Linked DNA regions of Drosophila melanogaster. The protein of the gene in region 1 interacts with the protein of each later gene in a pairwise test. Each region holds a gene or a part of one and is shown in the gene's direction. Other genes may lie near its edges.

Region 1 (6,161 bases):
TTGGTCATAAATTCCCCCCCGCCCCAGGCAAAGGTCAGCACCTGCCGAATCGGTTTTGGCCATATAATTAAAGCCTGAGAAGAGCCAAAGAACGGGCAATGAACTTTCAACTCAATTGGGCCCAGCCCATAATTCGGACTTAGGCCAATTTATTAGCCAGCTGCCGGAGTTGGACAAAAACTGAAAAACCAAAACTGGACAGCAGCTTTCTTTGTGCCGTTGCCTCGTTTGAATATGAATCTTTGAGGCCTGACCCCGTTGAACTTCTCCTGCGGCACATTCTTATGGAAATTAAGTTTGCGTTTCTTTTATTTTAGAAATTTTTCGCAGCAGTTTCCGCAGCCTGTTGCCAAGCGGATTTTACTGTGACTTCTTGAATGTCTTGAATAAAATAAGTTTGCATAAAATTGACCCAAGTGCTTGTGGATTTCATTTTTTTGGGGGGAGAAAATCGATTTCAAATTAGCGGATTTATGAAATATATTTAAGACCGTTTAGCGAATTTATATACAACATACATATATGCTAATTTTTGGATGACCCAATTTGGCCCAACAGTTAGTAAGAGTTAAAAATTGAAGACCACAAAAACAAAAATTAATTTATGCGTTCCCACAAACTTTGAAACCAATTTCCAGATCTAGATTAAAAAAAAAAAAACAGTTACTAAACTCTGTACTCTTCGAACTTGGAAAGTTAAAAGTCTTTTTTAGGCATTACAAAATGATCTAACATTTTGGAAATTATATTTCACTATGAATATTTATGAAATGAGATAATATCGGTATATATTAAAGGCACAGTTCCTAAATTGCTGGAGGGAATAAACTATTCTATTTTCTAAAAATACTTCTTTGATCTTTTTAAATTTTTGCCGATGAATTTCAACCTGTTGAAAATTAATAAAAAGCGAAATGAATAGAAATTTAAGAATATAGAATTGACTTTGGTAAATATATTCCAGTTTCCAGTGGGCAGCTATAAAAAATGGTTAAAGGACCGAGGCAAATATTGCATTTGAACACTCATATTATTATCCAAACTATTTGCAAATAATAATTAGTTTAAATTAGTCAGAATGGCCATGACTGCAATATCACTTTTATATCTAAAAGCTGTGAGGTAAAAAAAAAAAAACTCAAATCTGGAAATGAGTCAAGGGGAGAACGCAACCACTGCAAAATTGGTTTTCTATGAGTTCGCATGGCCACTTTTGGTAGCCGTTTTCGAGGTGAACCTCTACAGGATCATTCTGGAGCTTTTGGCCCACATCCTGCTGATCGTAATAACCGTGGTGATGGTCAAAAAGACCTCGGGTTTGGATGACCACAGCAGCGGCCAGCATGCCCTATACGCCATTTTGGGACTGTTTCTATGCGTGGGTGAATCTCTGTTGGTATGCCACTCCTGGTGGTTAGGAGACTTCATCTCCGAAAACCGGCTCAACCTTCTGCACATGGTATTGGGAATGGTGGGACTTTGGCTGGGACTGGTGGGGATATTCGCGAAGAGTATCTTCAAGAGCAAGATACATGAGCCGCACTTTAATTCCAAACATGGATTGTGTGGCCTTTTGGGATTCCTGCTTATCGCTGGGGCCGTGGCCAGTGGTTTCGCCCTGGTGTGCTTCACCCACCTGGCTCTGCACGTCATCCACCGATTGATGGGCTTGTGTGGCTTTGTGCTCCTCTCGTGCAGTCAGTGGTTCGCCCTCAATTTGGGATTCGCACGACGGGAGTGGAGTAGTTGGAAAATTAAAAGGCTCAGGATCTCCACGCTGGCCGCCACCATTTCAGTGGTTAGCTACGAGTTCCTCTGCCTCTGTAGAGACATTGTCCATTTGCTACCCAACAGCTGGTTCAAAGCCATCGGATTGAAAATTGATCACCTTCACAATTAAATTTTATGACCAAGCATTGTGAATAATTAAATTGAAGTGCTGAAGGCAATTGCAAAATGTTTATATTTTCTAAGCCCTACCATATAAAAAAGTAAATCACACAAAAATTACATTTATAGGAATTCTATTCAGCATGACAGCAAATATTTGGAAGATCAAGTGAAGTTTGTTAATCAATTTCGAAAGAAACATTAGCATACTTTCTGACTTTCAACTGAGAAATCCCTTGGAAAACAAAAACACTTTAATATCTATGCTTGCTATTTGGTCATATTGCAGTATGCCTAAGATTTTAAACAAGTTTCAACATTGTTTAATTAAGAAATAATAAATTCCGTGTCAAAAATTGTAGATTTATTGCACGACTAAAGAAAACAGTAAAATTACAGAGGGCTCGCATGTGAAATATTGGCCAACCTTCAGTCTTTCACCTGTACAATTGGCCATTTCCACGCATAAGAAGCCTCTTGGCTGGCATATTAATCACGGGACAAAGGCATAATTCCATCCCAACGTGGCTCGATCAATCAGCGATGCTGGAATACACATTTGCCCCCTATACCATACACCCCTTTCATCGATATTCACATTGGTCATTGGGTATATGACCGGTGGCCGGGGATGGGATACGACCACTTCGCATGCGTCGCTGACTCCGAGAGCAGGTCCATCATAGGTTCGGATCGGCCCTTGACTTCTCGGGTTTCTCGGTCTCTTGGGATGCCGAGATTTGTGCGTGTCTCTGATTGTTTTGTCATTAGCATGACCGCGGCGCTTTTTTTTTTTTTTGGGCCTTTGGTGTTTTTGGTGATCTTCGACTTTTTGATTCGGCGGCTGCTGATTTATTCAGCGCTCTTTCTTTTGTCCCACCGGCGGGTCACTGACATTCGTTTCTAATTCTATTTTTCACCATTTTCTACATTTCTTCCACAAAATTTCGCCACTTGAAATTATGCCGACATCGACCGCAATTATGACCAATGTTCTTGTGGCCTGAGTGGGCTCTCTCTTCTCGGTTTCTATGGGTTCTAGATTATGGATTCTGGATTTTTGGCCAGAACTTTTTCGCATAAAAACCTAATGCCGCCGCCACAGATCGTACAGTTCTGTTTGGGCCTTGCTTACAATTAGGATCCGGTCGGCAGTAAATCTTTAATTTCTGTGCACTTTACGTCGAGAAATCTTCAAAAAAAAAAAAAAAAAACAAGATGTCCAAGCTGGGTGCTATCTTGTTGGTGGGCTTGTGCCTGTTTGTGGCCGTGGCCTTGGCCGAGCCACGCCTTCAGCACGTTCAGGGGCGCAATCAGGTGCAGGGTCAAAGGGCGCAGCAGCATCCCTACCTCTTCCTGTCAATTCCCAAGGGTCGGGCCAACGCCGGCGCCGTCGTCCAGGGCTTCGAAATTGTCGAGGAGGAAGATGATGATCTACATGATGAGGACCAGCACGATGACGAGACGGAGGATGACGAGGAACTGGAGCATCAGCTGGGCCTGAACTTTGCCCGCAGCGGTCTGGCTTACAGGCAGAACCACGCTGATGACGAACAGGACGATGATCAGGATCAGGAGCAGGATCACGTTCAGGATGAGCTGCCCAAGAAGCAGATGATGGTTAACCGGGATCAGGCTGGTGCCATTATGGTGCCCGATGGCATTATCGAGATCGAGGGTCAGAGTGTTCTGGACGAGAAGACCGGCAAGGCGGCTCTCCTAGTGCCTCGTGCCGCCCTAGACGCCATTCCCGATGGCGCGGTGGTGGCTCTTATGGAGCGATCCGCCTCATCCGTTGATGAAATCGAGGAAGAGCGCGCCAACCGCGTGGTAGTTCGTCGCCGCAAGAACAACGGACGCAGGAACATTCGCCGCCGCGGCATCAACAACAACAATATCCGACGCCGCCGCCCCGCCCAAAGGCGTCGCCGAGTGGGTGGCAACCGCAGGCGCAATGTACGCGTCATTCGCCCCCAAGGCGGCAACCGTAGGCGTGGCAACCAGAGGCGCCGCGGACAGGTCGTATTCCAGGGTTGAGACACGAAACGAAGGTCGTCCTAGCCCCATTTCTATATAGTATTATAGTTAAGATCCCCTAACGATCAGGACAAGAAATTTGAGACACTTGATGACGATGCGACAAATAAAATGTGATATGAAAATTATAAATATTTTTTTTCGTATTTTTTATGGGTGGTGAAATTATGATGTGAAATTAACCAACATGCAAAGACTATGGTTTTGAATCATTAAGTTGAAACTTATTTTAAAGGTTTTGCCGTAAAACATCGTATACTACTTGTATAACTTTATTATTTATTTATCATATATGGTGTACCATTTCCTAGCAGTGTATAAGATACATAAGATTGCTTTGCCTCAAAATAGATCACTGCTTAGCTCCATTGATAGAAAAATTTGCATTTATCATGGAGTTTATTTGTATCATGGTTCAGCTTTATTCCAGTTTATCCTTTAACTTCGACACAACCTTAGTTATAAGTCACTTAATGCCCATAGGCTATCAAAAGTATGATATATGAATTAATAACTGCAAATTTTGTATGATAAAGGATCCGAAAATCAGATGGTACACACATATATACAAACAATGGTAGAGAAACTCATTTGAGAACATCTCTATAGAACTGTAAAAGTTTCGTAGTAAACTATTTTTGCTAATCGTTTGGCCAACAAAATAGGTACTACCGAAAAATAACCGTTTAGAGATAAAATTCATTTGATTGTCGTATATTGGAACCAAAGATACTTTTGGTCTTATCCAAATATATATATTAATCAAATGAAAGTTTTAAAAAGTCACGAAATAATTACACAATAACAGTATGTACAATACAAATGTTATATGGAAAATTAAAATATATATTTATTGAAATAATTTGATGTCGCATTCTGATTATATTTTGTCATTGTTTTTGGGAGAGCAAACATACAAAAATAGATAAGCACATATTTTGGAATCGTTGTCAAGAAAAGATTTGCCTCCGAACTATGCAATAAATCGCGAACCCTTTGTAAATTATAAATTTTGAGATTTCATTAAGTTTTGATTTTTTCGAAACGAATTTGGAGACTTCAGTTGAGTACTCCATTCTTTGGTGTGGAAATGCCGAGCACTGAGTGAGCTGAAGCAAGCAGAGAACTGACATCCCAGAACATCTGTGTAAGCCAGATTCCGTGGGTCAATCTCGGCTTGACGTCAATCAATCATCGGCTACTCGGCGATGGATAGAAGAATGGTTTTGGCAAAAGAGATGGGAAATTAGCATAAAATTCGTACGCCTCTGACCCGCGACCCGGTTCACTTTGACCCCGGGCGAACTTTTGCTAATAGAGCTGGCCAAGAAGTGGGAACTGAAAGGAAATGGGGATGCGGGGCGGATGATAGCCATCGATCAGCTGTATGAGCTCCAAGTGGGTATAAAATCCCGGGTCAGTCCATCAGTTGTCAGTCAGTTGTGAGTGAAAACTCAAAGACAACAAGTGAGTTAGGAACCCTCGATCCACAGTCAAGGAAGCCGATTATCCCGATAAGGAGAATCCATCTGCAGAATGCATTGCCTGCTTCAACTGAGTCTGGCTGTGGCCCTTTGCGCCCTCTTAGCCCCATCCACTACCTTGGGTGAGTCCTCAAATATTAACAGAAAGTCGTCAGTCAAGTCACAACTACTTTCTTTATATGTTCCTTAAATATTTCGTATAATTTTAAAATATTTTATCTCAGCCGAACGCCGCAATGTGTACCGCCTGGGTGGACGCGCCTCCGACGCTCAGATGGAGGCCCGCTTCACCTCGTCGATTGCCAACAAGCTGACATCTCTGAAGGGCACCACCACGACGACCACGGTTGCCCCCACTACCACCACCACGCCCACCTCCACTACGGAGACGACCACGCCGACTGCACCAACAACGTCCACTGGCACCTCGACGAGCACCACGACGCCCACAACCTCCGACACCACCACCGGTCGTGCCTTCCCCGCAATTCAAGACGATGTTGAGGAAGATGATGAGGAGATGCCCAGGGCGTTTGAAGATGAAGAAGACGAAGGTGATGACAGCCTGGAGGACGAAGATGATGACGACGATGAGGAGAGCTACTTTGTGGCCGCTCCTTCCGCCGGTGGCAATAGCAATGCCGTGCAGCAGTCCTCAGAGTCCGGCTCGTTGGTCCGCCCCTCGGAACTCCAGTGGCGCCAGTTCCAGCAGGAACAGCGCAACCGTCGCCGAATCCAGCGCCTCCAGCG
Region 2 (4,250 bases), on another chromosome or scaffold:
CCAGTAGGCTCGTGCCAGCACTGAAATAGCGTGTCCCTGGCCCATGGCTGATATCCACCCCGGACGCAATTCGGCAAAGCCGTTGAGGCTGCGACGCACAGGATTGGTCCAGCCACCCGTCTTGGGGTCCTGGTTGTGGACGAACCACTCAGCCGCGTCGTAGAAGTGAGCCAGATGGTCACTGGTGGACAAGGTGATATTGTCGAAGAAGCCAAGGCCCAGAAAGCCAATAGATATTACCTCCAGATCGGAGCGCCGTATCTTTAGCGGCGAGCGTTTGTCACCCATGATGCCCTTTTGAAGGTCAATGTGCAGGTCTCGAGTGATGTGGCGCCACTTGTTCAGTGCCGAGCCTCCCAGACCGTAGTAGATGTTTGTATCCTGCACGCTCAGCAGCAGATCTGCGGGTATGTAGTGCAGGCTGTAGTTGTGACGGGTGTCCCGATTCTGAACGGTAATCATGAGACTACTGCTATTGGTTACCAGGAGCAGATCAACGCTGAGCAGAAGATCCAATGTCTGGTTTAGAGCAATGCTGATGACGCCTTCGTAACCAGGTGCCGTCTCGAACTGGACAACACTGGTGTTAAACTTGTGGTGCCAGATGCGGGTCATGTTGCTGGTCTTGGGCGTACTCCATTCCATCTGGTTCCCGTCGCCGTCCTCCAACACGCGAACCCTGGGTGCCGGCTCTGTGAGGTTCTTGCTGTAGTGCGACAACGCGAACTGGGCAATTTGTGTGGGGTAAAAGTACCCACGCTTCTCCCATTGCGTGCTCACTGGAACGCCCTCCGCGGCACTGATGCACTTTACCCGGTCGCGCACTTCCACGTTGTAGTTCTCAAAGTACATATAGACGCCGCGCGCATCGTACTTTCCCCTGGGAAGGTTAACTTTGGCTGTGCTGTGCACCCAGTTGAACTTGGCCACCTCATTGCTGTTGGTGGAAACTGCTCCACTGACGTCGAAGTAGTTACGCAGGAAGGAAAACGGAACGTAAACCTCGTTGGCGTTCTCGTCTCGCTTGCAGTGCACGGTGTACTCCTGGTTAATGGAGCACTCAATGTCGTGCAGCGCTGTAGCTTCTCCTCCGCTGGAGGACTGCCTTGCGGACCGGTCCAGAGGACGCACAAAGTCCGGCGAAAAGGAGAAGGCGGCGCAGCGCATATACACGCCCAGAGTGATTACCACCACAGCCACTGTGAGGACAAGCAGCACGGCTTTTAGGTTCAGTCGCATGATGAAAAAGACCAGTGGCTCGCGTTGCTAAAGAAAATTCTAAGATTAGCCAACTGATAACACGACGAAATAGACATTGTTACCTTTACCCCTTGGAATTTAGGTGGCTCCCGGTTTTCCCTGCTTACTGGAAGCGCGGGTGCGGAAAGGGCATCTCTCTGACTGCTTAGATATTTGGACATTCGGTTGGGGGCGAACTCTCTAACTGGCTTCTAGGTGAGTCATGCTCTAAATTTAAAACTGCATTCATCTGGCAGATGCATTGCTGACGATGATAATGGTGCACCAGTACGCGTACGTCTCTTTCACTGTCTCTGTCTAAAATTCCACCTGCCGAGCCTGTAGCCCTCTGAGTTCAGTCCAGGGCCATCCAAAGTTGATATTTCAAGTGCATCCAGTTCTCACTAAGCATATTTTGCTTAGATTTGCGCTGCTCTTCTCGCTTTAATGGGCGAACACTGCGAAAACACAGAAACTGCGATACAGATGAGCAAATGTTTTGACATATGACAAATGGTCGCTCTTGGGCGGCCTATGCACGTAAGCTATCGATAACAAGCATTAACCGTGTGCATCGTTACTTCTGTAGCTAAGTAATTTAAATAGTTTAATTTTCGAGTTTAAATAGTTTATATTCCTCCTTTGGTTGAAAATGAACTTTTATTTATAAATTCATTGGTATTTTCAAATGTTCCCATACGCATGCTGACAACTATCGACGAACCGATAGCATCAACACGACGGCGATTAATCAATAGTGCAATGTTTACAAAATATTTCGGGTGGATGTCGGTGAGAAGGCGCGTTTAACTAGTTTTAGTAATGTCTAGTCGTAGTTTAAGTGCAATAGTCTTGCTCCTTGGGGCGTTAGTGACCGCCTGCCTCGCCTCCAACGGCGACCGCACACAGTTTTTTCACAATTGCCGACAGAACTGCGAGCGAACGAACTGCTCGGCAGGTGAGAAGTGCTATCCACTTTAATTGCAAGTCTTAAGAGCAAGCTTCCATTGGCAGATGGACTGGAGATCCAGGAGCAGGCAGTCAAGTTTTACCAGCAGTCGGTGTTTGACCGGCTCTTCCAGTGGAGCTGCGCGGACGAGTGTCAGTATGGATGCATGTGGCGAACGGTGTTCGCCTTCTTTGAACGCGGTTGGCCGATTCCCCAGTTCTACGGCAAGTGGCCCTTTCTCCGCCTGCTGGGCATGCAGGAGCCGGCCTCAGTTATCTTCTCCTGCCTGAATTTTGTCGTTCACCTGCGCTTGTTACGCAAGTTCCGCCGAGAAGTGCGTCCGGACAGTCCCTGCTATATGCTGACCCACATATTCGCAGTGGTATGCCTTTATTTACACGATCAGCCAATAAAGTCGTTATACTAAGTTCCCTCGATCCTTACTCTTCCAGACGAGTCTCAACGGCTGGATCTGGTCCGCCATCTTTCACACAAGGGACTTTCCACTGACCGAGCTGCTGGACTACGCCTTTGCCTATTCCATCATCTTGTGCTCACTTTACGTCATGGTCATGCGGATGCTGCACCGCTACTCGCTGTTCCTACGGGGTGTTATCACGTTGGCATTCCTCTCCTACTACATTAACTACTTTGCCTACCTGAGCGTGGGACGGTTCAACTATGCGTTCAACATGATGGTAAACGTGGCTACGGGAGTTATAGCGGCAGTGGGATGGTTCGTTTGGTGTCACTTTGTGCGCACCCGCAGGCCCTACTTTAGAAGGATCCTGCGTTTCTATATTCTCATGGCGTTGGCTATGAGCCTTGAACTGCTTGACTTTCCGCCCATCCTCTGGATTCTGGATGCTCATGCTCTGTGGCACTTGGCAACAATTCCTCTGGCATCCCTATACTATGAGTGCGTAGAAATATTACTTTATTCTAATATTGCTACATGTGTTTGCATTTTAGCTTCATGATAGAGGACTGTCGAACCCTGCGAAAGGAGAAGGCTGCGGCGGGCGGCTATTCATTCTACAATTAGTATTATCTAAGTTATTCTTAGCCCTTAAAGCACGCAAAGCTATCTGGCAATTTTTCTGACATATTTCATGTAATTTGTAACAGAGCGAAAACATGTAATGTATTTTATTGAATGTCAAAGCGAAAACATCCTTTGACAGTAACCAGAACGGCAGGAAAACTAATAGCTTCGTTTAAAAAGACATAATAGAGACTTTATTACAACATTTAGAACTCCGTGCTACATTTGCCCGCACTGCGAAATGGTCACTGGGAGCTTCGGCTTGTTATTGGGGCCCGTGGGCACGTTCTCGATCTTGCGCATGATGAGCAGTCCATCCAGAACCCGACCGAACACCACGTGCTTTCCGTCTAAAAAGTTGCACTTGGCGCAGGTGATAAAGAATTGGCAGCCGTTCGTCTCCTTGCCACTGTTTGCCATGGAAAGGAGGCCGGGCGAGTCGTGCTTCAGGGTAAAGTTCTCGTCGCCGAAGGTGTTGCCGTATATGCTGGTCACGCCGGTGCCGTCGCCCTGCACAAAGTCGCCGCCCTGGATCATGAAGTCCTTGATCACCCGATGGAAACTGGCGCCTTTGTAGCCAATGGGAACGCCATCCGGTCGGTACTCGCCCGTGCAGAACTGCCGGAAGTTTTCCGCCGTGCGGGGCACTGTGTCCGCAAAGAGTTCGAATATCATTCGTCCGATTTCCTGCACACAAAAGGCGTTAGAAGGCGGAGTTATGTACAGATTATGACTAGATTGTTTTCAGCTCACCGTTGTGCCTACGGCAATGTCGAAGAAAACGACGGGATTGTTGGAGCTTCTCAGTTGGGACTGTATTTGATTCCAGTTAGGCATTTTAAAATTATTTTATTTGTTTATAAACTTTCTAACAAGTCAAGATTAAGATTTTACTAAGCCGGCAGATTTTTGTTTATGTTTATTACGATGGTTCGATGACGATGCACGACAAGTCGATAGCATCACAAGCCGGTTATATCGATAGCACACGTGTGCCAAGTGCTTGTTTATATTTTG

What was found. Proteins that work in one complex are often made in the same cells at the same time.
Region 2: the proteins of CG3598 (region 1) and PGAP3 interact in a two-hybrid assay, tested with the Drosophila melanogaster proteins (one large-scale study listed by BioGRID).

The regions. Positions count from the first base shown.
Region 1 is NC_004354.4:2,934,020-2,940,180, forward strand, and holds CG3598 (uncharacterized protein), read left to right. Parts: upstream 1-3,007; 5' UTR 3,008-3,108; coding exon 3,109-3,927; 3' UTR 3,928-4,054; downstream 4,055-6,161. Other genes in the region: CG3592 (uncharacterized protein), read left to right, coding at 1,151-1,900; CG14420 (uncharacterized protein), read left to right, coding at 5,464-5,533, 5,636-6,161.
Region 2 is NT_033778.4:6,671,621-6,675,870, forward strand, and holds PGAP3 (Post-GPI attachment to proteins 3), read left to right. Parts: upstream 1-1,983; 5' UTR 1,984-2,061; coding exon 2,062-2,197; intron 2,198-2,253; coding exon 2,254-2,570; intron 2,571-2,640; coding exon 2,641-3,107; coding exon of another isoform or gene 3,108-3,160; coding exon 3,161-3,233; 3' UTR 3,234-3,441; downstream 3,442-4,250. Other genes in the region: Hsepi (heparan sulfate C5-epimerase), read right to left, coding at 1-1,266, 1,323-1,421; CG17266 (uncharacterized protein), read right to left, coding at 3,453-3,920, 3,987-4,070. UniProt on the Drosophila melanogaster protein: Involved in the lipid remodeling steps of GPI-anchor maturation.